Oryzias latipes: one gene and its partners. The protein of the gene in region 1 purifies or fractionates together with the protein of each later gene. This does not show direct contact. Links are inferred from orthologs where the notes say so. Each region holds a gene or a part of one and is shown in the gene's direction. Other genes may lie near its edges.

What was found.
Region 2: the proteins of cdk2 (region 1) and histone acetyltransferase p300 purify together in Homo sapiens (affinity purification with mass spectrometry; 3 studies listed by BioGRID and IntAct, counting the BioPlex papers as one, with this or other methods). This does not show direct contact. The link is inferred for Oryzias latipes from reciprocal best matches to the Homo sapiens genes CDK2 and EP300.
Region 3: the proteins of cdk2 (region 1) and pcna purify together in Homo sapiens (affinity purification with mass spectrometry; 8 studies listed by BioGRID and IntAct, counting the BioPlex papers as one, with this or other methods). This does not show direct contact. The link is inferred for Oryzias latipes from reciprocal best matches to the Homo sapiens genes CDK2 and PCNA.
Region 4: the proteins of cdk2 (region 1) and ccne2 purify together in Homo sapiens (affinity purification with mass spectrometry; 10 studies listed by BioGRID and IntAct, counting the BioPlex papers as one, with this or other methods). This does not show direct contact. The link is inferred for Oryzias latipes from reciprocal best matches to the Homo sapiens genes CDK2 and CCNE2.
Region 5: the proteins of cdk2 (region 1) and lin37 purify together in Homo sapiens (affinity purification with mass spectrometry; 3 studies listed by BioGRID and IntAct, with this or other methods). This does not show direct contact. The link is inferred for Oryzias latipes from reciprocal best matches to the Homo sapiens genes CDK2 and LIN37.
Region 6: the proteins of cdk2 (region 1) and e2f4 purify together in Homo sapiens (affinity purification with mass spectrometry; 4 studies listed by BioGRID and IntAct, with this or other methods). This does not show direct contact. The link is inferred for Oryzias latipes from reciprocal best matches to the Homo sapiens genes CDK2 and E2F4.
Region 7: the proteins of cdk2 (region 1) and ccnd1 purify together in Homo sapiens (affinity purification with western blotting; 12 studies listed by BioGRID and IntAct, counting the BioPlex papers as one, with this or other methods). This does not show direct contact. The link is inferred for Oryzias latipes from reciprocal best matches to the Homo sapiens genes CDK2 and CCND1.

Annotation. Positions count from the first base shown.
Region 1 is NC_019863.2:27,093,792-27,097,991, reverse strand, and holds the start of cdk2 (cyclin-dependent kinase 2), read left to right. Parts: upstream 1-1,400; 5' UTR 1,401-1,719; coding exon 1,720-1,835; intron 1,836-2,419; coding exon 2,420-2,497; intron 2,498-2,594; coding exon 2,595-2,715; intron 2,716-2,792; coding exon 2,793-2,963; intron 2,964-3,223; coding exon 3,224-3,325; intron 3,326-3,405; coding exon 3,406-3,609; intron 3,610-4,200. UniProt on the Homo sapiens protein: Serine/threonine-protein kinase involved in the control of the cell cycle; essential for meiosis, but dispensable for mitosis. Phosphorylates CABLES1, CTNNB1, CDK2AP2, ERCC6, NBN, USP37, p53/TP53, NPM1, CDK7, RB1, BRCA2, MYC, NPAT, EZH2.
Region 2 is NC_019866.2:19,365,422-19,368,921, reverse strand, and holds part of histone acetyltransferase p300, read left to right. Parts: intron 1-613; coding exon 614-853; intron 854-947; coding exon 948-1,134; intron 1,135-2,604; coding exon 2,605-2,756; intron 2,757-3,500. UniProt on the Homo sapiens protein: Functions as a histone acetyltransferase and regulates transcription via chromatin remodeling. Acetylates all four core histones in nucleosomes. Histone acetylation gives an epigenetic tag for transcriptional activation.
Region 3 is NC_019867.2:6,551,446-6,555,667, reverse strand, and holds pcna (proliferating cell nuclear antigen), read left to right. Parts: upstream 1-1,422; 5' UTR 1,423-1,664; coding exon 1,665-1,885; intron 1,886-2,102; exon of another isoform or gene 2,103-2,532; coding exon 2,533-2,630; exon of another isoform or gene 2,631-2,719; intron 2,720-2,725; coding exon 2,726-2,793; intron 2,794-2,812; exon of another isoform or gene 2,813-2,868; coding exon 2,869-3,063; intron 3,064-3,145; coding exon 3,146-3,269; intron 3,270-3,343; coding exon 3,344-3,420; 3' UTR 3,421-3,767; downstream 3,768-4,222. UniProt on the Homo sapiens protein: Auxiliary protein of DNA polymerase delta and epsilon, is involved in the control of eukaryotic DNA replication by increasing the polymerase's processibility during elongation of the leading strand.
Region 4 is NC_019874.2:25,659,709-25,661,989, reverse strand, and holds the end of ccne2 (G1/S-specific cyclin-E2), read left to right. Parts: intron 1-465; coding exon 466-576; 3' UTR 577-1,781; downstream 1,782-2,281. UniProt on the Homo sapiens protein: Essential for the control of the cell cycle at the late G1 and early S phase.
Region 5 is NC_019874.2:15,177,520-15,181,636, reverse strand, and holds the start of lin37 (protein lin-37 homolog), read left to right. Parts: upstream 1-1,317; 5' UTR 1,318-1,362; intron 1,363-1,689; 5' UTR 1,690-1,726; coding exon 1,727-1,760; intron 1,761-2,657; coding exon 2,658-2,733; intron 2,734-2,902; coding exon 2,903-2,953; intron 2,954-3,442; coding exon 3,443-3,472; intron 3,473-3,635; coding exon 3,636-3,721; intron 3,722-3,826; coding exon 3,827-3,987; intron 3,988-4,117. Other genes in the region: proser3 (proline and serine-rich protein 3), read right to left, coding at 1-41, 142-290, 384-646, 731-796.
Region 6 is NC_019864.2:28,153,448-28,157,668, reverse strand, and holds the start of e2f4 (transcription factor E2F4), read left to right. Parts: upstream 1-1,421; 5' UTR 1,422-1,501; coding exon 1,502-1,666; intron 1,667-4,221. UniProt on the Homo sapiens protein: Transcription activator that binds DNA cooperatively with DP proteins through the E2 recognition site, 5'-TTTC[CG]CGC-3' found in the promoter region of a number of genes whose products are involved in cell cycle regulation or in DNA replication.
Region 7 is NC_019861.2:4,929,971-4,934,096, reverse strand, and holds the start of ccnd1 (G1/S-specific cyclin-D1), read left to right. Parts: upstream 1-1,326; 5' UTR 1,327-1,639; coding exon 1,640-1,837; intron 1,838-2,989; coding exon 2,990-3,205; intron 3,206-3,749; coding exon 3,750-3,909; intron 3,910-4,126. UniProt on the Homo sapiens protein: Regulatory component of the cyclin D1-CDK4 (DC) complex that phosphorylates and inhibits members of the retinoblastoma (RB) protein family including RB1 and regulates the cell-cycle during G(1)/S transition.

The DNA of each region.
Region 1 (4,200 bases):
AGCAGTGTATGCGTGTTGTGTATACACAGTTCTGAAAAATAAATGAAAAATAAAAAATACATAAATTCCAGTGTTTCATCTGAATTAGAACCACGTTACTGCAGAGGGCTACTTATGTAATTCAATAATTTATACCAACATAAAAGTGATTACTTGACAATGATATTTCAATTTCGATCTCTTCAAATACATATATATATATATATATTTATATATATATATATTACAATGAATACAAATAGAAAAGTTGAACAAAGGAAAAACTTTTTTTTCTTTTTGTTAGTGTAAAATTTGGTTTACAAAAGTAGAAAATTAATAATATTTTCTAACATACTTTTCTTATCCTGTGGCAAAGATAGTCCATTGGAGTCTATACTTTAAGTTTACTTTTTATACACTATATATTGAAGACATAAAATGTAATAATTTATTCTGAGAAGTATTCTGTTAGTATACTTCCTGTACTGCATGTACATGGAGTATAGTAGGCGTACATTTGCTGTAATTATACTTAGGTATACTTAAGAAGTAAACTTTAGGTGTACAAGTGTACTACTTTTTTGCCAAAAAGTTGTCAGGAGTGGTTATAATCTTTTGGGATTTCAGTTTTATCTCACTAACAAAAAACAGTGTGAATGTGTTTGACAAGGAAATGCTGCACTAACAAAGAAACTAATAAAACACTTAAAAAGGTTTTGTCTCAATTGAAACTTTGAAGTCTTTTTATTTTTATTTTGACTGTTTATGCTTTTTTTAAAAAACTTTTATGTATTATTACTTTTGTTGATTCATTTATTGAATTATGTGTTTATTTTTTTTATTTTGTTTATTTTATTATTATTTATTTCATTTTATTATTATTATTATTATTATTTTTTTGTTATTCAACCTCATGGCAACTTCAATAATTTGCACTTGGTGTGAAATTCTGTATGTGCAATGTTTGTCAATAAAGTTATTAAAATTAAAAAAAAATAATCTCCGTCTTTGATTTTTGTTTTTTAACTGATGGTTAAATTGGAATATAAATGCATTTATGAAAATGTATACATTGATAAAAAAAAATGTTCCAAAAATACACATTATTTGTGGGCGTTAAACTTTTTTCCCTTCATATTTAACCGCTTTTACGTAGCTTTCTGGTTCCTTTACGCCGTAGACCATGTGACCAAAGAGTGCGGCTTGTTTATTATTCCGTTATACGCCGGAAGACGAGGAACTCATTTCTCCAATTACACCAGTTCGCAATAAAATCATTGGATTAAATACAATAAACATAGCGGTCTACCTTCACCAGTGCCATATATCAGGACTGACTTTAATTACTGCTAAATTCAAGAAAAGGGAAAATAATAAATTGCTTCTGCTCTGAACGGTACGGTGTGTCTCGAGCACAAAAACGAACGCCCGCAACACAACGCGGGAAACGCCGTTGTGTTGTTTTCCACCGCGGAGCAACCACCGGGCTAATCCTCAATTTAGGGGTTAGTGTTACTACCTGACAGATGTTCACCTGTCCGTTTTTGTGTGCCGCTCTCTGACCGGAGAGAGTTTGTCCTCGAACGGGACCCCTTGGTTTGGTTGTAGCCTGGACCGCATGACGAAACCCGGAGAAGCGGGTAATTGTAGGTCGGTCCCCGCGCTGCTTAATGCTTGTAGCCTCCGAGAAGACGTTAGCTCCGAAACAAAGAAAGAGGTCCGGTCCGATTCTGGTGGGAAATGGATACGTTTCAGAAAGTGGAAAAGATCGGAGAAGGGACGTATGGAGTGGTTTACAAAGCTAAAAACAAACTGACCGGAGAAACGGTTGCGCTGAAGAAAATCCGACTGGATACGTAAGTGAAAAGTTCTTCTTCCTGCTGGTTGAAACCTCTGAGAAGCGTTTGTTGTGATTCAGATTATCTCAAATGCTTAATTCCAGTCCCCTCATGAAACAGTTTCATTAATTACAGAAAAGACAAAACATTTTAAATTCACTCTATGTACAAAGACCTAAAAAATAAAAGTAAATAATAATACAAAGTTGAAACAAAACTGACATGTTACAAAATAAAAGCATTCAGCTCTTGTTTGGTTGGTTTCACTGTCAAATTAAACCTACTCAGTTACATTTAAAATCTATTCACCATCTGTTTTATTCATCTCTATTTGCCTTTGGGGGTAATGGAACACTAAACACAATTAGTCAATAAATTGATCAAAAGTGATGATTACAAATTCATGTGCATTTGTCCATAAAGTTTTGGAAAAGCATCATAAACACAACAAATTGCTTTAATTTAAAATGATTCTTAATCAAAATGAATTATTGTGCAATAACTAGGAAAATTGTATTCAATTTATCAATGGGACAAAGGAAGCATTTAACTTCATAAAACAATCTCCGCTGATCCTTAAATTTGTGATTTCTTTAATCCAGAGAAACAGAGGGCGTACCAAGCACAGCGATTCGAGAAATTTCACTTCTTAAAGAACTCAGTCATCCAAATATTGTCAAGTAAGTGTTTAACCATGCAGAAATATGTTTATTTTGTTCAAAAGAATCCCATTTTGTGTGATTTTATGTTTTAAACCAACTTTTTTTTTTTGTCCAGGTTGCAGGATGTGATTCACACAGAAAACAAACTCTATCTGGTTTTTGAGTTCCTCCATCAGGACCTCAAAAAATTCATGGACTCTTCCTCTGTGACTGGCATCCCGCTGGCTTTGGTGAAGGTGAGCGTCCTCTTTAAAGAGAAGATCCTGAAACTGTCCAGACCTGATTCCTTGTTCTTACTGTCTTGTGTTTCTAGAGTTATCTCTTCCAGTTGCTGCAAGGCCTGGCTTTCTGCCACTCTCACAGAGTTCTTCATCGGGACCTGAAGCCCCAAAACCTCCTCATCAACGCCCAGGGTGAGATCAAACTGGCAGACTTCGGTCTGGCGAGAGCTTTTGGAGTGCCGGTCCGCACCTACACTCATGAGGTACAGTGTGCTCCTCCCTTTCTTCATCTGTAACAAGGTACGAATCGATCTGATAACAGCTGATTTTGTTTTTCTAATGTGGTTCAGGGATTTTTAGTGCTGGATAGTGAGAAAATGTTTATTTTAAAGGATAAAATCCCAAAATATGTATTTTCTTAGCTTTGCTCTTTCAAAATCTGATTCAGACCTTTTCTTGTCTTGTATCAGGTTCACATAATAAAACATTAGAGTCGTTCTTGATTCTTTGTGGTATCTTTCAGGTGGTAACACTTTGGTACAGAGCCCCAGAAATCCTCCTCGGCTGCAAATACTACTCCACAGCTGTCGATGTCTGGAGTTTGGGGTGCATCTTCGCTGAAATGGTAACGCGCTCGACCCCAAGACCAACTTCAATAAAGAATTAGGAGCACGCTGATAATAAACTGATGGTCTGTGTTCACAGATCACCAGGAGGGCTTTGTTTCCCGGAGACTCTGAGATCGATCAGTTATTCAGGATCTTTCGCACGCTGGGCACACCTGACGAAACGGCGTGGCCCGGAGTCACATCCATGCCCGACTACAAGCCCTCCTTCCCCAAATGGGCTCGTCAGGATTTATCCAAAGTGGTTCCGCTTCTAGACGAAGATGGAAGAGAGTTGCTCGGAGTGAGATTTTCTTCTGATTGCTACATGTTTTACTCTTTTCCTGTTAAATATCTGCAAACGCGTTAATTAAGAGTAATTGTTTTTATGTGTAGAGTTTAGAAAGGATGACAAATTCTCTTATGCAAATTATAACTTTTTCTGTCTACTGAAAAAAAAAAAACAATATTTTAAACGCAGCTCAGAAATATTGACTTGAAAAAACCTTTTCAAATTTTTTGTTTGCCTTTCTAGGATGGTGCCCTTTCAGCTTTTTTTCCTACTTTCCATTTTTCTCTAATAATTTATCTTTAAAATAGTTTTTGTGGTAATGCTTGACATTTGTTTTTTAGTACAACCGCGGCTTCTCTCTGTCTCTCTTTTTTTTTAGCAGAATATTTTTAATTATATCCCAATAATTTCACAATGAAACTTTACAAAAACTCAATTTCAGGTTTTAAATTTACTAATTTGTATTACCGGTAACTAAAAAAATTTGAGAACAAACAGTTTTTATGTTTTATTACAACGATCCAAAGGCGTACAAAATAAATGAAAAAATAAATACAAAAGTAAGGTAAAGATGATATTAAAACAGTGCAAAAAACGTGTGAA
Region 2 (3,500 bases), on another chromosome or scaffold:
TTTCTAGGACATAGTTTCTGCAGAGCGGCAGTAGTTTATTAGAAATTCACCTCTGAGTTGTGGGTGGGATTGTTTTAAATTTGAGAATATCTCTTGCAGTTCGTTTTTTAATTGGATTCAGGGTAATTTGGGGTCATTTTGTCTTTGCTACCATTTCTGAAAGATTTGACCAAAACATGAGATTTGTTTTGATCGTCATTCTATTCCCGACTTTGTCCAGGAGATCTTTTGAGTTTTTGCAGCACAGAAAGTCAACAGCCTGACAACAGAATGAGCTGCAGTAAAGGTGTGGTTGTGGCCAGGAGGAACCGTACTCTGCAGCACACCTGATTTGCCTAATCCAGCAAACATATCGGACCGCAGTAAAAATGCAAATGCTGGTCTAGAGATGACAGTCGTTTAGTTCCTAATTTAGTTTGGTTAGGAAGTTCTTTGTTGCTGTCCCTCATCAGCAGTTATGACTTAAAGTTCCTGAAATAAATGACAAAAAGGGGTGGATCTTGATCATTTTTATTATAAAATGTTAGTCTAGAAAGTCCGGAATTTATTTTTTTAAGTGTAGGAAAGCAGTGGGTGTGTTCTAATTGTCCTCCCTCCTCCCCCTTTGCCTCAGCTCTCGCCAAAGCCTTCTCTAACGGCAGACGGACACGTTTCTTCTCCTGCGTCGGTCGCAAGCGCCAACGATCCCACATCCCAGCTCGCCGCTGTCGAGGGCCCTGCTCTCAGCCTGGACAATGTCAAAATGGAAGTGAAAAAGGAGGAGGAGGAAGATGAAGGAGCAGAAGGGCAGGGCGATGGCAAAGGACATATTGAAAGGGGTTCATCAGAGGTGAAGGCAGAGGAAAAGCCAGAGGTGAGGTTCTGTGAGACTGTCAAAGATTTGGAGTTTAGCTGTGAATCACTGCATTTCAGCGAAGGAGAAAGTAAATCTTAATTCTGTCTCTCAGATTAAGAAAGAGAAGCCATCTGGAGATGGGTGTAAAGGCGAGCCCATGGATACCTCTTCTTCCTCTGAGTCATCTGCAGGAGCAAGTGAGGACAAAAAGCCAGTGGTGAAGAAAGAGCCTAAAGAGGAAGAGGAGGGGTCAACGACCACCAACAGCTCCCCAGCCACTGCTCAGAGCAAGAAGAAAAGTGAGCATCAAGTCGTCACTCTGTCATCGTCATCACCCGAACGGATCTCATCCACCTTGATGGGCCCAGAAAATACTCTGTGATGAGCTGATGAGATTGTTTGATTCTTTTGCCTTTTTTTCTGGTTATTTAAAGTTTCAGGCGATTATAAATATTTGCTGTCCGTATAGAGACGGCGGGTCTAGAAATGCATCTATTTCTTCTGGTTTTTTCCTGACAGTTGTAAGTAATACCGGAGTCAAGTCGGCTCTCAAGATATCCACTAAATAGCTTTTCATACAAGCAGATCCAGTCCCATTCTGGGTCTGAATTTTATAAACCATAATGCTAACTTTGATTTGAAATTCTGCTCATATATGGCGATGTTTTCAATCACAGATTGATCAGTCTTCAGCTCCAGTAGTGTGTGTGCCGGACATCCAGTGAACTATTTTCGATCAAACTCCAGATTTGGTCAGGTTATATCTGGTAACCATAGTGTTAAATAATTGTCTTCAAAATGCCCCCACGGAATGTTCATTGACATTAACATAACCTTGGTCCTCCTTTCTTAGCCAGTTTAAACACACCAAGCTTTAAAGGGCCGCCGTGGTGCAGCGGTAGGGTGGTCGGAAGATCGGAAGATTGCAGGTTCGATTCCCGCCTTGCCCGACCATGTGTCGAAGTATTCATTGGATAAGACACTGAACCCCACCCTGCTTCTGGTGGAAGGCTGGCGCCAGTGGTCGGCAGCGGAGCCGCCACCAGTGTGTAAAAGTGTGTGTGTGTGTAAATGGGTTTGTGACTGTAAAGCGCTTTGGGCCTTCAAGGAAGGCCATTTACCATTTAATGAGTATCATTGTTTTAGCTGAAAGATGGCCGAATCTGACATTTGAGAGGAAAGTAACGTTGAAAACACCTAACAGTATGAAACCGGCGTTTAGAAACACTGATGGAGACAATTGTAAAGTTTACCTGCCACCCATTGTGAAGTTTGGGGCTCCTTGACTCCAGAGGCAGCATAATGATGGGATGTTGTGATTTGTCTCATGCTGATTTAAATGTTGTGTTTTAGCTCTTTAGTCTCGACCATCTCGGCTGGAATTGACCTCATCAAACCCTGGTCTTTATCAGATATGTGAGCCTGACAGGCATTACCATTGGGGCCAGGAGTTCAACTGTGATTAAAAAGACTACGGTCCGGTTTTAGCCCACTTTAAATCTTGTAGTTCGATTAAATATAGCACACTTAATTAGGAAGGATAAAAATTGTTTAATACAATTAATACAAGGAAAATACCTTTTTGGAAGTGACTTATCTTTGTGATAAACCACCTTGTGGTGACTTGGTCAGCTGACCTGCAGAAGTTTACTTTAGATTTGGAACCAGCTTCAAACAGGAATTCAAGTCCTTCATTGGAGCTCTGGTCTTTTTTTCTAAACTCTTTTTTTTAATGTCTTTCTTTTTGCTCTTTTCATTTTCTTTTCAAGTCTTTAAGCCGGAGGAGCTGCGTCAGGCTCTGATGCCAACCCTGGAGGCTTTGTACCGCCAGGACCCAGAGTCTCTTCCCTTCCGCCAGCCGGTGGACCCCCAGTTATTAGGAATACCTGTACGTATTCGAACTAGTAACAAAACTAACCTGGTAAGGGACTGCGCTGGCTGCCATTTTGCTTCAACTCCTGTGAATGCTTAGTTTTTTTTTTCTTCATCCAAGGCATTTTTCTTTTCTTTTTTTTTCATTTCATTTTTGCTTTGAATTATAGATGTACTTTAAATTCCTATTAATCTTTGTTTGTTTTTGCTTCATTGCATGACAGAAGTTAAATTACGTTGCTAGACTTGTGTGTGCTTTAGCTTGTAATGTCTTGTCTGAATAATATTGTCAATGAAAGCAGTGACTTGTGAACATTTCAGCGAACCACACTGTATTTTGATTCTGATATGCAAGTGTAGAAAATCCTGGCATTTTAAAAAGGCTGCAGACAATAAATATGTGACCTCGAATACAGTGGTAAGTTGGAGAGTCTGATAAGATTTCAGAAATGGAGTTTTTGCAGTTCACAAGTCAAATGCTTTCATTTACAATCACATCTATTTTTGCTTTTCCGACATCTTTTTCATTTTTGTCATCATGTTATTCCATTGCTTGCTTTAGTTGTGCTCCTCCTCAGCTGTAATTGGATGGCGCACTTTTCAGAGGTGGAGCAAAGCCTGTTTCATGTTTTCCTACACAAATCTGAGCCCAATAGTTCTGCCTGAGCCTCTTCTTTATGAAATCAGACATCTTTCAGAGGAGCGAGCGGCAGAATATTGGCTCGGCTCTCCCTCAGCAGCTTCCAAGTGATGCAGCTTCACGAATCAAAGTCTCAGGCTGCACATAAACCCA
Region 3 (4,222 bases), on another chromosome or scaffold:
GTTTTTACTTTCATTAAAACAGCACTGAGACAATGCCAAAGAAAATACTGGTGAAGAAATTACATTTCCTGAGTGTAATTTTATATATAAAATTAGTTTTGAATCTGTGTGTCAGCTTTTCTTATTTATTAAAATGCAAATTCCACATAAAACATCAAGCAATCATTGACAACATCCATGAGGTTAAAGTAGTAAAAAGAAACTTGATGCTCCATACATTTAAACTAGTCATAATCGGTGTTAACAAAGTCTGTATTGTTCAGTAAGATGTTGGAGTCAGTGGAAAGTAAAATTGATACTTTCCACTGTAAAGGTTTGCATCTTTAAGACTCAGGAGCAGAAGGTGTAAAAAAAGGGGCAGAATATTTGCTCCAGTGATAATATTAAAAATTAAGCAAATAAAATAAATGTGAAGATGAAGTTTTACTGATGTTTTGGATATACTTGATTAAAAAAATTTTTTTAACTTTTCTTACTCAGCAAAATTCTATTCTTCTCAATATATTCTCATCAATATAAACATAAAAAGAAAACTGGAAAGGATAATCAGCTGTGTCATAGAAAATCATTCAATTTCACTCTTTTGGTCTAATTGGTCTAAAAAAAACATTTACAATTGCCAGAATATCAGCTCTGCTTTCATCCAAACATGAAATATGAAAAATCATACAAAAAATTTGTCTTCGTGTTTATTTGATTCTTATTCAAGACTCTTTGATGAGAATGCGTATTGTTAATGCAGTCGAAAGAGTTTTAGTGTGTGTGTGAGTGATGGTGGTGTGCCTTGGGATTTTGATAAGAGGACTTTGGCCCGAGACAGTCTGAATATTATGCATTATGCTTTAGTAACATCATTTAAACGTTTATCTTTTTGTTTTGTACATTTGTAAATGATGCAATTTTCTTAAAACAAACATATGTGTAAAACATGAGACAAATTAATATTATTCAGGCATTCAATGTTACAAATGTACAACAACTCCATATATTGATCAACATTAGGAGCTTATTTCCTCAGATTTAATTAATATAGTAACTAGTGTCATTTTTGCAGGACATCTGATGACTTAAGAAAACTCTTCTCACTTTATTTTAAGAGTATTATAATCTACCACACCAAACAAGAGAAAACATTTATTTAACCAGTGTTTTGTTAAGAATGAGGTCACTTTCTTTTAAAAACAAAAACAATTAGACCTTTTAATTTCATTCTAAAATATTTTTGTAATATTTTTAAAAGTCAGAAATATTCCCAATTTGTATTAAAAACTACGGGAATATGTTTTACATGCCCAAAATGTGAAAATAATTCTTTTCAACAAGCAGATTCCTTTTTAAATCTCTAAACAAAAATGTTTTTGCAGATTTGCATCCAGCTTCCGTTTTATTGACGGAAGTGTGTCACACGTCCGGAAATGACGCAACGACGCAGCGTTATTAAACAACAGGCGTTTGCGCGGGCTTCCAGCTCAAATCTTGTGGTTGTTGTAGAAGACGCGTCTGTAGCCCGCGTGCCACACAAAGACTGAACTGCCAAAGCCGCTTTGTCATCGCCTACGTCGTGATTACTCCTCACTGCAGCCTCCTTTTACCGGAGCAGCGCTGAAAACCTCCACCAACCTTTGCCTTCTTTTTCGATCTACGCAACCCTCCACAGAATAACCATGTTTGAGGCTCGCCTGGTCCAGGGCTCCATCCTGAAAAAGGTCCTGGAAGCCCTGAAGGATTTGATCACAGAAGCCTGCTGGGACGTCAGTTCGTCCGGCATCTCTCTGCAGAGCATGGACTCGTCTCACGTATCCCTGGTGCAGCTCACTCTCCGGCACGACGGCTTCGACTCTTACCGCTGCGACAGAAACCTCGCCATGGGAGTCAACCTTAGCAGGTGACGGGGAGAAAAACAACAAAGTTTAATAAGAGGGAAGCTTCGTGTATAATCTGCATGTCATGTGTTCTGCCTATTAAATGTATTTAAAGTGATTATCAGGGGCTGACTTCAAGTTCAGACATTTACGAATTGTTCATGGTAATCGTGTGTGGCGCCAAAATCATCTTGGACGAGTGAAACGTCGATCGTTGTGAGGCCGACAAAGGAGGCCATCTTGCTGGAGAAGCCCGGGCATGTCTCCCTGCTCGGTTAACTCTTTACTGTCCACTCGCTGATTTCAACCAGCAAAAAAACAAAACGTCTAAAACGTTGACATGTGCAAATATGTCTTTGCGCTGTCACAGAGCCGCACTTGCTGCGGTACTTTAGCGCCAAAACTCTTGCCGGCAGTGTTGGCGGGAATCCTCAAAACCCGGGAACTTGCACTTCCGCTTACGTCACTCTTTCATAAGAGTTTCCGGAATTAGATTAGCATGTTGATACAAATACTTGGATCATTTTTTTTAAACATACCACGTTATCGTTTTTAAAATAAATTTACTTCAAACATAGTACTTTATACTTATAGATTAAAAGGTGACATTAATAAAAGCTAAATTTTTGCTATTCAAATAAAAGCTCAAATGTTTTACTGCTTTTCTCAGTATGTCCAAAATCCTGAAGTGTGCGGGAAATGAGGACATCATCACCCTCAGAGCGGAGGACGCCGCTGACACTCTGGCTCTTGTGTTTGAGACCATCAGTAAGTTTCTAACTGTTCGTCATACGGAAACTGTTCATCTGATGAAAATCCTCCAAAGTCTTTATGCTCCTTTTCACTTTTCTGTGTTCCTGCAGACCAAGAAAAAGTTTCAGATTATGAAATGAAGCTGATGGACCTGGATGTGGAGCAGCTGGGCATTCCAGTAGGTATTTTTTAATTACCTCTTCTGCAGTATTTCCCAGCATTCCCTGATCTTCACTTTCTTTGCTCCTGTCAGGAACAAGAGTACAGCTGCGTGGTGAAGATGCCCTCCGGGGAGTTCGCCCGTATTTGCCGTGACCTGTCGCAGATCGGCGACGCCGTCATGATCTCCTGTGCCAAAGACGGTGTTAAATTCTCCGCTTCGGGAGAGCTGGGCACGGGAAACATCAAGCTGTCCCAGACCAGCAATGTGGACAAAGAAGAAGAGGCCGTAAGTATGAGGGGTGGATCTGTCCTGCAGAGGAAAATCGGTTTGTTTTGACATCGTTTTGTAACTTCCCGCTTTCCTTCAGGTCACCATTGAGATGAATGAACCCGTCCAGCTGATTTTTGCTCTCAACTATCTGAACTTCTTCACCAAGGCCACTCCGCTGTCAAAGACTGTAACCCTTAGCATGTCTGCTGATATCCCCCTTGGTAAGGTGGCTTACGTTGTGTGTCCGTCATCACACCTGCTGAAGCTCGACCTCATCACATTTATCTGTTCACAGTGGTGGAGTACAAGATTGCCGATATGGGACACATCAAATACTACTTGGCCCCGAAGATCGATGAGGAAGCTTCTTAAGTTGGAAGCACAGACCGAAAAGGGGGGAGAATGCAGGTGATGGATGACTGGGACTCCTCCTGAAGGACTGAAGGGATCTTACTGTGGTGAACTGTGGTCACTCTGAGGTTCCTGGGCTCAAAATGAAGTCCAGGGACGCTCAGAGTAGCTGGCAGACACATCTGTCGTAGTTTCCAGCAATTGTTTTAGGCCTGTTCTCTCCCTCTTTTTATCCCGTTTGTTTGCAGGTATCCATTCTGTTGTAGATAACACCTCTGTAAATAATTCCTGTGGCGTCACACTGCAAGCTCCAAATGTTTTGTACTCATAAATTCAATCGGAAATAAAGGATTCAAGTTGTTAAAAAACGTTGTTTGCTGTCCACTTTATAGTTTCACTAGCAAACCTTTAATAAGTGCACATGTGTGTGGGTCAAACTTCAGATATTTTTGTTATTTTTCATCTGTTGGTATGCAATTCAAATAGATTTTATTTTTTGCTCCTGTCCCAGAGGAAAAGATGTGTAACCAGAAAACGCCCATTGGGTGGTGCTATTCCCCCTTTTTAAGGTAGAAGAGGTTTCAACGTGACCAAAAAATCAGCTTTTCAGCATGAGATATTCCAGGTTATCCACAGTGTTAGGTTGAGCTTTACAGTACAGTGAACAAAAAAGCAGCTCACTTTGATGGTCTGATTGGGATTTAACCACATAATCTGAGTTCTGAGCCTGCTTTCAGAGAAATTACATCCCACAGCATTATTAAAGTGGACCACCTTCAAATGAAACAAAGATAATCTACATATTCATGCAAATACATCAGAC
Region 4 (2,281 bases), on another chromosome or scaffold:
ACAGGCTTTGAAAAACGTGTGAAACCCACATTCTTGAAGGTGCTTTCATCATAAGGTGGACCTCTTCTGTTTCTATCGAATACTACCGCATGTCTACCACCCACAGTTAGGAGAGGTCTGGTGTCAAAACGATTCACAACTCATGAATCTCGTTCCAGCTCTTTTATTCTGAAAAATAAAAGACTTTATGTCAAGTTTCAAACAGTTGAAACTCCCGTAAGTGAAAAGGGACGTCATCCATTTATCACCACAAACTCCAAGTCTGATTGGTCAAAGGTCAGCTCAGTTTAAAATTTAACGGATGTCCAAAAACGGACTTAAATCATTCATAGTGATGCGAGAGCGTTTTGAACATGGCGGTCCAAAACGCGCAAAGACGTAGACGAGGGCGGTGGGAACGTAGCATTGAAGCTGATTGTTGTGTGTTTTTACTCTTGTTTCTCACCTAAAACATTTTCTGCGCAGAGAAAAGCTCAGGAGCGTCAGATCGACAGCCACGACTTTCAGATGTCGCCTGTTGCTACGGCAGCCACCTTGACTCCTCCCAGCAGTACAGAGAAACCCACCAGTGTCTGAGGAGCGAGTAACCATAAAGTCCAGCTACCTCTCTGCTGTCCAACGGGGCGCCATCGCTGACTTCCTGGGATGCATCGCTGTGGATGGCGCTTTTTTGTTTTCATTTTTTTGCTTCCTTTTTGTTTTTTGTTTTGTTTTTTCCTCATGAACACTAAGTTCAGGTTTCTGGGACCAAAGAAGGTTGCCAGACTATGAATCTTTTGCAGAAATTGCAGTTTACAGTCAGATTGGCCAATTTTATTCAAAATGTTCTTATTTTAATTGAGTGTTGATTTAGGTTTTTACCACCATCAGTTTTACTTGTTTCTGGAGGAAGAGGTGAAGGCGGTAAATGTGGCTTTTAAGTATAAATATGAATTTCTGCTGGTTGATCATATTGTCTCAGAACTTCACTGGTCATCTGCCAACATTGATTCTTCGGTGCTTCAATCATTCCTCAGGAAATGACAAATTCCTGTGGTTTATGCCGCGGACTCCCATTCCACTGTGGAGTTTTCAGGTGCTCTGAGTCCAAGCCGACGTGACCATCGATAACTGCCTCGTGGAATAACTCTCAATTGTTGCCTCAGCGCACCGACCGGCTGAAGTTAAATGAACCACAGAGGGTTTTTGTAGCCACACGAGGTAAAGGAATGGTTCCTGTGTGTTTTCTTTTGAAATGCATGTGACGTGCCTGTGCTTAAATTGTCTTTCACTCATGTTTTTATTTTTTTTTGGTAACTTGCAACTTGGTTGCACCTTCTTGTTACATTCCTGGGGAAACTTGACAATTGTACAAAGTTTCATTTTAAGTGCTCGTATTTATTGAGAATCCATAGCATATAAAAATAAAATGTTCATATGTAGAATTTTTCAGAAATGGAACTCAATCTGATTGTTGCCAAAGGCAAAAGCTATTTATGATTCTGCCCTTTACCACCTTTGTGAATGACAGTTCTGTCCTTCTGTGTGTGCGTCAACCAACTCTGATTTTGTGCCTTTTTTGGGAGACAACTGCTTAGTTTGTTCTGAAGCGAGCCGAACGGACGAGCGAACGAACGCCATCAAATCCTGTGACTGTGCGATTTTTGCAGCCATCGAGTAACCATGTGAACTGTGTGTCGATGCTCAAGAATGTATCATTTTTGTAAATAGAGCAATTCAGAAATGTGTAATTTCATTTTTATATTCAAATGTTTTAAATAAACGGAGGGAGATTAAGCGGGTGGAAATGTCTTTGAGAAGGAATGACGTTACTGCATTCATTCATGGGAAATACTATAGAGATGATGTACTTATATATTTATATATATATATTACATGTAAAATGACTTAAACATAGAGATATTAGCCTTTATACAAACATGAGACAGTAAATAATAAATTTGCCAAAAACTGTTAAATTATTTGATTGAAAAGGAGTAAGAGGAAGTGAATTCATATTATCTCCATCTATTCTGCTTTACTTAATTATTTTTCTTTACATAGTTACCTTCATCCAGGTCTCAGTTATTCATACTTCACCAGTACAAGTGCAGATCATTTATCAAATAAGTATTAATATCAACTAGCAAAGATTAAGTACTTATTGATTTCATAAAAATACATTAATGTATTACAGAAATCATTATTACGTGCAGAGTGCTGATAAATTATGATTAAGAAGAGATTAATTACATGAATTGTCACTAATCAAAAGCAGAAGACTCTCCTAACCTGTTGTGAG
Region 5 (4,117 bases), on another chromosome or scaffold:
AGTGACGGATCCATCATGTGTGACAGCAGAATCGTGGTCGTCTGTCCAGGGATAGTAAGATCATGCAGATGATAATAAACATACACTATTATGAAAATAACTGTTTGATTATCGGGTACAAAGGTAAGAGATAAAATGTACCTTTATGTAATGTTTTAGTTTGTTTTCCACAGGGAGATGATGAGTGGAACATCCACCACAAAGGTTCCTGCTCTTCTCCAGAGACAGGAGTCACTGGCTGGCGCTGTTTCCGACTCTGAGGTAGACCATGTCGAAAACGTTCTATGTATCTTCAAAAAGCAAAGGTTAATGATTTGTCGAGCAACGTTAAAAGACTAAATATGAAATGAGATTGTGATGAAACCAGACAGCACGGCACGCACTTAGCCAGCACAGAATCTTCCTGAACTCCTGAGGAATCTTTGGAAGCCTCAGACCTCAGAGGCTGATCTCTTTCCTCCATATCAGGAGTGATGCTACCAAGACGAGATGCGTGTTCAGGGGACTGCCAAGACTCAGCAGCCACAGATTGTCCACCAGTAGAAGAAACATGGCGATCATGTTTCTTAAACAGTTTCTGATTTTTCTGAGCACATGATTGTAATTTTACACCGGATCTCCTGCTTGTGCAACCAGGACTGCGCGTCTGTAAGAAGTACAAGAAGTATGAAGTAATAGTTAGAATCGACTTGACAACAAAGATGTTAATGAAGTTATCTTTAATACTAACACTTTTGTTCTTTGTCTTTGACAGAAGTTGCTTGCTGGATGATTGCTTGTGTGCCCTTCTTTCCATGGATGGTGGCAGATGAAATTTCTGCCCTGTGAGAACAGCATCAACACAATTTTTTTAATAAAAATGATTAAGCAATAGTAAAACGCATAAAATAAGTTGTATGTTTATTATTTTTACTTCTAATTTTCTGACCCCTCCTCTCTAGTCTAATTTAAACTGTACTTTTCTGCTCATTTGGTGGATGATAAAAAAATCCTGACCTGTGGATTTGCACATCCACACCACAACATCAAGCAACACATTGACCCATAACAAACACGTACAACAACAATGACACAGATTTACAAGACCAAAAGTTAAGATTTTGTGAAGAAAAGAAAAACCTACCTAGTTGGCTTTTTGATTAAAGTACACCTAACAAGATGGATGAAACCAGAAAAGCTGTAGCGTTTGAGTTGTTTACGGCAAAGAACACAGCTTGTGGAAATTGACCAATCAGGGGCTGAGTTTTGAATAATGGACAGAACAGTTGTCCAATAATAGTAAGATTCTGCTCACAAAGCATCCAATCAGATCATAGAGTCTACAGCGCGCGGAAGAGAAAACCTTGACAGGGATACTTCTGGGTAAAAAAAAACGCAGTTAGCAACGGTTGTTTGGCCACTAGCTTACCCACAACACTACTTGACCACATCGAACAGAGCGTGAACAGTGTAATATTGTTGTTACATAGATGTAGTTGGTAGGGTAAAATGTTTCTCTTCGTGTCAATTTAATAATTAAATACATGTAGATAAAAAAATTGTGGCGTAATTTTAAGAGTTTGGGGTGAGGCTAACGCAAAGGTTAGCTAACTTAACTGAAAGCAGGAGCGCAGCTAGTTTCGGTGCATATTTAATTGTTTTAAAACAAATTAAACTGTGACTACCTGTAGTTACTGATCTACTACGCAGATCTGTTTTTACCCCCTGGGAAATATTGTTTGACACCATGCACCACGTCAAGATCAAGTCGGAAAGGCCAGGTAAGAGAGAGCAGGGCTATTTTCACGAACTGTTGTTTTATTTAATTAGACACCTTTAGTTAAAAGAGCTTCACAGAGACACCGAAAGGCTCTGGCAGTAAAAAAAAAAGAAGTCAAATAATTTACATTGTAATGTGTAGGGGTAATAACAAACTAGTTAAGCACATTATTATTATATGTATAAAAATAATATAACATTTGGTTTATAATAAATGAAACGTTTAAAAAAAATTAAGCGCAGTTAATTATTTAATTGTGATTTGTGTAATAATTTCTCCTAACCCCTTAAAAACGTCTATTTAGGAATTGGTTGATCCATTGGTTTAGTTCAAGCATTGATTGTAGACAATACAGAAAAGGAAATCACACAGTTTTATCAAACAGAAATAATGAAATGCACTGATTAAAAAAAATGTAAGAAGAAAGTTATAGTAATTACTCATAATCCAGAATCGATTTTTCTGCAATGATGCAGAGAATACACATTTAGGTCACATCAGATTCATTCCATATGATTACCAACTAAAGTCAAGTTTTAATTTTTAATTGAAAAGGAGTAGGAAGACATTTGTATGATCCCACCCCTAGTGAGTTATTTCATTACAAATTTTTGCATCGTTGTCATAATCCAGTTTTGATCCAATCGTTCCTTGTAAATGTAAAATTATGGTACGGTATAGCTTAATAAATTGTGTGTAAATATTGTTAAGGAACCACTAGATTCCATATAGTACTTTGTATCTTCAAAAAAGTCCGATTTCTTTTTTATTTACCATCCAAAATATTTAAGATTTTGGGAACTTCATAGCTAAATTAATTGCACATATCTTTTAATGGTAATAATTTTATGGTTATCCATGTTTTCTGTTATAATTTTTGTAACTGTTTCTATTACAGAGCTGGAGGAAAGCGGTGCACGCAGCAGACTGGATGCTGTGCTGAAAGGACTTGTAGAGAAGAGTGAACATGAGAAGTTAGTGAGATTGTGATGCTTTTTCATAATTCTTTTTATATTCTGTTTTACTGTGAAGCACTTTGTGATTTTTATCTTGAAAGGGGCTATACAAATAAAGTTTATTATTATTATTATCATCATAATGATCGCTCATCACTGTCTAAAATTGTCGTTATGCTTTAAACAGGGATCCAAACGAAAATGATCCTGGGAAAATATCTGTGGATTCTTTAAACAAGTAAGCTCAGTAAATTTTTCTTTTGTTCTGTTTAATTATAAGTGAGGAGGAATTGATATCAGAATCAGAATCTTTTATTATCATTCTGCAGAGCACAATGAAATTTTTTCCAGCAACTCTCGATATAAAAAGGTAGAATAAAATAAAATAAGAATAAGGAGCTATATAAGGCATAAATACTTAAATACTGTACAGTAGAGTGGGGTGAATATTGCACGAGTGGGTATTCCACATTAGAATGGATATTGCACATACAGCATGAATATTGCACACAGTTTAAAATAGAGATATATATTCTAATATACTGCATAAAGCTGTAGTATACAGTATATTATACAGTATACTGCAGCTTTGTACAGTACAGTACATTACAATATACTGTATAAAGCTGCAGTGAATTCAGCTGTTACTTTGATGCTTTTTGAGTATTTTAAATAATGATCAAATGAATTTCTTGTTTTGAGATAACATCCTTTCTGCCCTTTTTAGGGATTTGTCTCCATCATCTGCTGGAAAAAGGTAAGTCTCTGTATTCAGAACGTGGGTTAATAATGTCTTTTATACTTTTTTATGTCCTGTACTGTTCCTAAACATTTTTTTTACAGAAAAGCGACTATTTGAAACAGTTAACATGAATTGTATTTATTGTTTTGATGTGGTATTTTATTTTTATTTTTTTCAGACAATCAACTCGATTTCCACAACACCGTAGAAAGAAAAGGAAAGAGATGGAAGAGGGAATACCAGAGACTAATCAGCATAAACAAAGTAAATTTGACTCTGACTTTTGCTTTTTATTGTGTGCAAGCTTTTCATTTACAGCAGTTTTTCAATTGTTAAGAAGCGTTTCTATTTGATCTGCTTTGCTCCTAGATGCCTACATCATTAAGCTGTTTGATCGCAGCGTCGATTTGGCTCAGTTTAACACCAGCACCCCGTTGTATCCGATCTGCCGTGCCTGGATGAAAAACAATCCTTCTGTTCGAGAGTCTGTAGCCTCCCCCGGCTCCCCGCCCGGCATGACAGAGGAAGAGGTGGGGCTGTCCAACATGTCCAACAAGGGCAATATGAATCTGTATTTACAGGGAAAATTTACCAATCTCTTTGTAATTCAACATCACAATATCATAAAGAGCATTCTTTATCTTTGTTCGTAAAGCAGCA
Region 6 (4,221 bases), on another chromosome or scaffold:
GAACAGCTGTGATGGACGCTTAAACCTGGGGAGAACAGCCAAACTCTGCAAGGTGAGGTTGTGAAAGACATGCACATTTCTAACATCTTGTAGTTAAATTAAAAAATTTTACTGCATCAAGTAACTTATAAACTTAAAGATATGTAGTTCAGGGTGTAGCGGTTCATTTTAACAACAAATCAATTTATATCATGATTTGCTGTTCCTGATACAATTAATAGCCAATATTGGTTCATTTTGAACGATCCAGTTCAATCACTGACCTAAAATCCAGCCAGGACATTTTTAGCCAAAACTTTTAAACCAGTGTGACTCTGGTACTCTGATACTTCTGGCAAGTGTAGAGTTGATGTGTACACATAAACAAGTAAACAAAAATTAAAAGAAAATCCATTCAAATTTTGGTTTCATAAAGTTGTAACACATGACCACATGTCTTTACACAATTCAAAGTGTTTCCACACATTGGACTGTAACATTCTTTTTTATTTTTTGGCTGCCACCACATATGTGTTGTCTGCTGTGATGCACTTGGTCGCTTTTATGTTACGGTAAAATAAACCTACCATGTCTCCAAATGCTATTTTCCAATCTTGACATTTTCGATTTATTTAATTTTGAAAAGATTTTATAATAGTTTGAATAGATAATAGATTAACAACTGCCCTAGAAAATATGTAGAAATATAAAATTGTTTCACTGATTAAGTCGATTAATCGTTACACCCCTATAATAACTTTTAAACTTAAATTATGTGGTAACATTTTTGTGGTTAAAAAAAATAAAGTCGTTAGGATGCAATACTGAACTCAAATAGTTAAATTCAAAATATTTAATTTACAAACCAATGTTTACACAGTACACTAATTCGCACTGCTTTGCAACCTTGAAAATGTTTCAGTCAATGACAATGTGGTTTGGAAGAAAAGCTTTAGAGGGGAAAATAATTTTCAAATATTCATTTGAAGAACGGTGCCTGCGTGTGCGCGCGTGGAAGTGCGTTTTCTTCAAGTTTAAGTTGCTAAGAGTTCGAGTTAAACTTTCTCCTCTACCAAAAATTCTTGCAACCAATACTTCCCCTAAAATCGCAATAGAAAAACTACTAACCGTCTTTTTTCATACTTTTTTCAATGTTACATTAAAAATAAATCACTAGAAATACATGTTCGTGCTAGCAAATGTATTTTTTACGTGGTTTTATTTTTTCATGAACATTTGCACACGGTCCCTAAAACGAAAGCACCGTCCCGTCATACCTCGCGTGGCCAACGGCTCTCCACCGACTGCTCCTTCATTGAATTTCCATACTCGCTGCTTCAGCTCGATTTTGCTCAGTTATTTTCAGAAAAGCAGCTAGTATTGACTCGTAAATTTGCACCACACCATCCACGCGTGTGTGTTTCGAACTGCGGCGGTGGAGCTTTCTTTCTTGGGCTCGCTGGCTGGATTTAGTCGGAAAGCAGGCAAGAGAAGAGGGGAAGTACGGAGCTGATCCGGAGCAATGATGGAGCTGGAGACGGCCAGTAACAGAGGCGACCCGGGAACCGTGGGAGACTCGCTGCAACCGCAGACGCCGAGCAGGCACGAGAAGAGCCTGGGCTTGCTCACGACGAAGTTCGTCACTTTATTACAAGAGGCGAAGGACGGAGTCCTGGATCTGAAAGCTGTGAGCTCTTTGTTGTTAGCTAGCACATGTCACTTTGAGCCAGCCCGCAGTCGTTAAGTTACATGGTATCTAGCTAGCATGCTAGCCTAGCTTAGCTGTGTGACAGGCTAATTTGAATGAAAGATAGCTTTGCCTTCTAAGTTTGTTGTTTTAGTTCACCACTTTTACAATTAAAATCACATTTAATATTTTATGGTGCAGATTTTTGCCTTTCTGAGTGAAGAAACGAAGTGAATTTCAAGAACACCGGTCAACTTTTTTCGACTCTCTGCCCCCCTGCAGATTCAAAGTTTAGAAAGTGGGTCAGCTTTTGTCATTCTACTCTCAGTTAAAGCCACTGCACCTTCACACTTGAGCAAGTTTGTTTTATGATTGATTGCGTCTTTGTCCACGAACGACATGCGTTTATAATGTTGCTTTTCAGAAATGACTCAAAGCGTGAAGTAGTACTCGCACAGATGTTGATTAAATTAGGCTAGCTTTGTTTTTCACAGTACAGGGGCCACATTTCCACATTTCCATCACTAGCTTTAATGCAGGAATGTTTACTATTGGGATTCTGCTAAAGTCCCACATTGTTTGATGTAAAAGCTCAAATAGTTTTCTACAAATACAAAAAAATATATAACGTTTGCACTTTTCATATTTTTACATTAGGGGTGTTACGATTTATTTGAACAATTTGATCCACTTTATAATTTGTGCTTCACGACATGATTTATAGTCCGGGACATCTTTAGCCAAAACATCAATCAGTGGGACTCAGAGATAAATAAATGGGTACTGAACAGTGTCACTTGTATTTCTTGTAAATGTAAATAAAATGGCTTAACAAACAAACAAGTAATTCCCATTTTAGTGTCAAAGTTCAGCCCACTTTTGCCATAGATAGGGTTGTTACGAATAATCAGTAAATCGATTTATATTGCTGCGATCCAACCAGATTGACCTGAAGCAAGTTGTTAATTGAGTCAACGTGTTTTATTATTATAAAATCCTTTCAAAATGAAATAAATCAATTATATGGATATAGGAAAACACCATTTGGATTGAGGTTCTGAAGGTTTATTTGACCATAACTGTAAAAATAACCGAGTGCATCACAGTAGACAACACGCATGTGACGGCAGCAAAGCATGACCAACCATCATTACGGCTCGATGTGTGGAAACATAATTTTTGACCATACAGTGTGGTCATATGTCGCAACTTGATGAAACCAAAAATGTGAATGGATTTGACTAGGGCTGCACGATATAATGAGGAAAACTCGCGGTATGCGATATTAGTGATAAACATTGCGATGAGGATATAACTTGCGATACATGAACAAATAGCAAAACGATCAAAACCATAATTTCCATTTCACTGCAACAGTTTTAATTTAAATAAGAGTTGCCCCTCGTCTACATAGGAGGCCAACATAAAAGAGCTCCATCCCATTGGTCAACCACGTGAAAGGCTCCATCTGATTGGTCAAATGTTTAAATGAATTTATTTGATTCATTAAATACTTCAAGCTGCTATGAGATTGTTTTAGCACTCTTAAGGTTACGATTTATTGCAATTTTTGCAGACTTTTGCATGATATATCATATCATGATAACGATAAATTAGTGATTTATTGTGTCTAGATTTGCCATTCATTCTTGTTTGTGTGTTTGTACACTTATTTAATTTACGCTTGGTTATTTTGCAAGGAATCTGGAAAACCTCCGCTGTGCTGTTCAGTACCAGGTATTTCTCTCTGAGTCCCACTGATTGATGTTTTGGCTAAAAATGTCCTGGATCTATTTTAGGTCAGTGAATCGGATCGTTCAAAATGAACAAATATCTACTATAAATCGTATTGTCAACCACAAATTATTATATTAACCGAATTGTTCAAAAGGATCAATACACCCTAAAAAATGTAACATTCTTAGAACATTCTAGCCCACTGGATGGGACCATGTCTTTGCTAAATTCAAAGTTTTTCCACAAACTGGACTGGAATGACGGTTGATCAGTTTTTGCTGATATCACTTGTGTGTTGTCTGCTGTGATGGTCGATTTTACATTATAGTAAATAAACCTAACGTGCCTCAATCCAAATGGTATTTTCCAATATAACTAATTTATTACATTTTGAAAGGATTTTTTTTTAATGGTATAGGTCGCTTGGATCAGCAACTTGCCTCAGACAGATTTATTTGGTTGGATCGTAGTAATATAAATCAATTTATCAAATAAGTGGATTGATTGTTTCCCCCCTAATGTACATATTTTTCTATAACAGTCATAGAAGAGAGACACTTGAGTCTAAAATCATTTAAATTACAACACACTGATTCTGTTTTGTTATTTTCTTAACTGTCATTTTGACCATTCAGGCATTACATTATGTATGAAGAGTTCTGCTTCTTCTCTTTTTGAGTCTGTCTTCCTGATCATTTCCTTCTTGTGTGACTGGGTTGATATAGTGTCTGCTGATACTCTAAGCTGCGCTGCACCTCGCAGATAAAACACTCCACGCACGTGCACACATTTTTTTTCTTTTTCTTTCCAACTGACTT
Region 7 (4,126 bases), on another chromosome or scaffold:
GTGAAATGGGGTCACACAAAAAAGCCTTTCCATTAAATTATTAAAAATAAATGTTTTGAATCAGAAAATTCTGTTGCTCACGTTCATCACCTTATTCCATCAGAACTTTTGCAGAGGTAAGATTCCGGTTTCAGACCAACAATGCATGAACTACAACATCAAAAGCCGGACACTCAAAAAGTAGACAACGTTTAGAATATTTAAAAATAAAGGAACAGACATAAACGTTGAGAGGATTTCTCAGTATATCCTGGGATCTGCTCTTTATTCCTGCACAGGTAAATGAGGATTGTTTTTTGTCACACAGCAACTTTCACTTCAGATGTTTAGTCCTTAAAAAGCAGGAGACTGGGAATGTGTTGATGTGACTTTAAGCTCTTCCAGCACATGGACCCCCTCTTCAGGCTTTACGGTAGTCAACCAAACGGCCCAAAGTGGAATTTCAGGAATGCAAAAAGCTCTGATTCATATTGAAACTGGATTAAAAAGTGCTCTGTTTGTACTTTTTACATTTTCGTTAAAGTGCCTAAATGTATAATAAAGGACAGAAAGAGGCTTGTTCTACCTGATTTACAACTTATAAGACTGAAGAGAAAAAAGAGCTTCTTTTTTTTTTTACCATAGTGAACTCAGCATCAGGAAGTTGTCCACAAACACAAAACTGCAATGTTGACTTGGAAGTTTGTGTGAAAGGACTTTGTGAGGGTTATCAGGGTCAACTTTTTCAGAGCAATGAACTTTTCCCTACATGAAAGTTACACCAACATCTGCCTAGTAACAGCAATTCCTCCCATTGGTGCGACTCTAGTCTCCTCCTGTCTGTCTGAACGTCTCACAGGAATCTTTTGAGGTAAAGTCAGCTCCTGTCACGTTTTCAACCGAGCTGAGATTCGCAACTTCCAGAAGTTAAAAGAAGATGCTGATCTGGTTGAAATGACCTGAATCTGTTTCATGTGTCTGAAGTGGGGATGCAGTGTGCACGCGCCCTGAACCTGGTTCCTCTCTGACTGCTTGGATTCCAACCCTGTTTGCTTTCAGCCACAACGGTTGGTGGGATCTCCTGAATGGAGCAAACGGCGTGTCCCTGTCCTTTCGTGGAAACCTCATGTTGTCGGTTTCATTCAATCCCAGGAAGACATATGGTGGGGTGGGGGTTCGGGGGGGTGTAGGATCGCCACCGCCCCCTACCGACCAAAGGATGGAAGCGTTCGCCGGTGGGCCGGACCTCCCACCTCTCCACCAGAGCCCTCCCCCCGCACATACATATGGACATAAAACAATCCCTTCCGCGCGCTCCCCAGCAGACTGCATGTGTCTTTGATACCCCCCGCCCTAACAACCGCTGACGTCACCGCGCGCATCCACCGTTTCTCACCACCTCTCCACTGTGCGCTCTGCAGATCAACTTTGTGTGCGCGCGTGTTCGTGGTCGCGCACGCAACGCGCGCACGGATCGGGGGTTTTGTCTTCGAGAGCAGAGAGGTCTGGCCCTCAGAGGGCTCGCGCGACCGAAGGGGCAGCAGCACGCGGCAGCAGAAGCCACGCGAGAAGAAAGGGCGCTGAAAGTTGGTGTGTGCAGCCTCCTGCCCGCGGGAACACGGCCCGGACCGCCGGCGGACTCCGCTCTCGTCCTGCTACCATGGAGGAGCAGCTGCTGTGCTGCGAGGTGGACTCCATCCGGAGAGCCCACCAGGACGTCAACCTGCTGAACGAGCGCGTCCTGCGGACCATGCTGAAGGCGGAGGAAAACTACCTGCCGGCGCCCAACTACTTCAAGTGTGTTCAGAAGGACATCGCTCCCAACATGAGGAAGATTCTGGCCACCTGGATGTTAGAGGTATCAGCTCTGTGCGTCTAAGCTGCCAGCTGTTCTGACCGGAACCGCAGGTCACGCCAAAGTTTGGAGCGCCTCGCTCACGCCGCTTAGTTTCTTCACGCGGCTTGCTGCTCGCGTGAGGGTTGGCCTCCCTTCGGCTTCGGCCGCGCGCCTCTGATCATCCGCCGACTTCATTCCCCGTCAGCTCTTTTCCATTTCAGCTGATGTTTCGGTCCAACGGGACGTTTTCAGCGAAACGTTCCCGGTGTACACGTATGCAGCCCGGTGCGTGCCAGTTTCTGATTACGCGCCATCTTTGTTGCGGTGTTTGCGGAGCTTCGGGATCTGATTTGAATGATGTCATTTTAACAGAAATAACGGGGAACGGGCCGGTAAAGCGCGGACTTTGACACGAGAAGAGAATAAAGTTTGAAGCGGGATCGAAAGCTGGAGTTTGTTCGGCCTCCGGAGGCGCAGCCACGGCCACGAACTTCACGCCAAAAAACGCAGATTCCTTCGAAAATCCAAAGCGCAGACGGACCGGATCCGTCGGATCTGATACTCAGAAGCATTTCAAACATTTACATCAACTTTCAGTTCAAAAGTCTTTAGGTTAAATATTTTTAATTAATTTTTGAAATGTGGCATCGGGCTGTGCGAGCAGCGGCTGCAGCACGTGAAGAATCTTCGCCTAAAAAATAAAAATAAAAACCAATTTGTTCTCCAAACAAGACAAATGACATTATCATCCGATCAGGCGCGCCTTCAGCTTCATGTATCTGCTAAAATAAGCAGCCTGCGATTTTTGTTAATATTTTAAAGTGTTTTTTGAAAAGATGACGAAGTTGAAATTGGAGTGAAAGTTGCGTCGACGCCACCTTTGTGTCTCCGTCAGAACTGACTGTAAACTCATTCCCGCTGCAGCTTTCACCTGCTTTTCCAGCCTTTTCTTGAGAGTTGGTCTGTAGGTTTTAACAATTTTTTTCCACGTATTTTAAAAGCCGAAAAATGAAAGATGCTTTAGTTTTTCTAAATTAGTTGGAGAGGATCATAGTGTGCAGGATGGAAGACAGACTGCTTACAGAAAGTGAAATCATTGTTCCATTTGAACAGAAAGAAATGTCTCCATGCCAGTGTCGGCCTCTAAAACACTTTATTTTCTTTTTCTTTTAGGTCTGTGAGGAACAGAAATGCGAGGAGGAGGTTTTTCCGTTGGCAATGAACTATTTGGACAGATTTTTATCAGTGGAGCCCACCAGGAAAAGCAGACTCCAGCTGCTTGGAGCTACATGCATGTTTCTGGCATCTAAGATGAAGGAGACGGTACCATTGACTGCAGAGAAACTCTGTATCTACACAGACAACTCGGTCCAACCTGGAGAACTGCTGGTAATTAAGTTCTTGCAGACATGATGTTGCGTAACAATGGGAGAACATGACCAGAATGCCTGAAGGCCGCGTTGGCTGGAGGCAGGGCTCGGTCTGGGTTGCTGGTGCGCCGAGGCTGCAACATGTCAAGCATGCAGTCATGCTACTGATGTACGTTGTGGTTGAAATGTGCATGGAAGTCTGCTGCAGCGTTTGAATGACTGCCTGCACTTTCCCATGGAGACTGGAAGGCCTCTGATTTCATCAATGGTCTTTGGTGGCGTCTGCTAATTTGCAGTGACACCTAGTGGCCGTCAGACAGATGTGCAGACAGTAGAAAGATGTATGCTAGAAAAAAAGAAAATGTCTTGTTCTGTCATTCACTTTGTTTAGGTAGAACATTACAGCCTATTTATGCATAAGAAGGATTCAATATTGACTGCTGGGTCAGCCCTGTCAATTTAGAAACTATCATTGATGGCATTTGATGGAAAATTACATAAAGAAAAACAAATGTTTGTCAACCACAAAATGAAGCATTGCGTCTTCTCTGGTCCTTCCACAGCAAATGGAGCTGCTGGTTCTCAGCAAGCTGAAATGGGATCTGGCTTCTGTCACACCTCATGACTTCATCGAGCACTTCCTGTCCAAGCTGACAATCCACGCATCGACAAAGCAGATCCTCAGGAAACACGCCCAGACCTTTGTGGCTCTCTGCGCTACAGGTACTAGCTCTTTGTTACATGTCTATTGGTTTCTGGGTTGTTGCAGTTTATTAAAACACCAATCACATTTATAGATATTTAACTGGTTAAGATTGAATTAGCCCTAATAGTTGCAAACCACCATGCCGTCAAACAGCGGTGGGAAGTACCAGTGAGCTATTTAGGAAGTCATCTTTTGGTCAGCAAGCCCCAGTCAGTCAAACCTGACCTCACACAA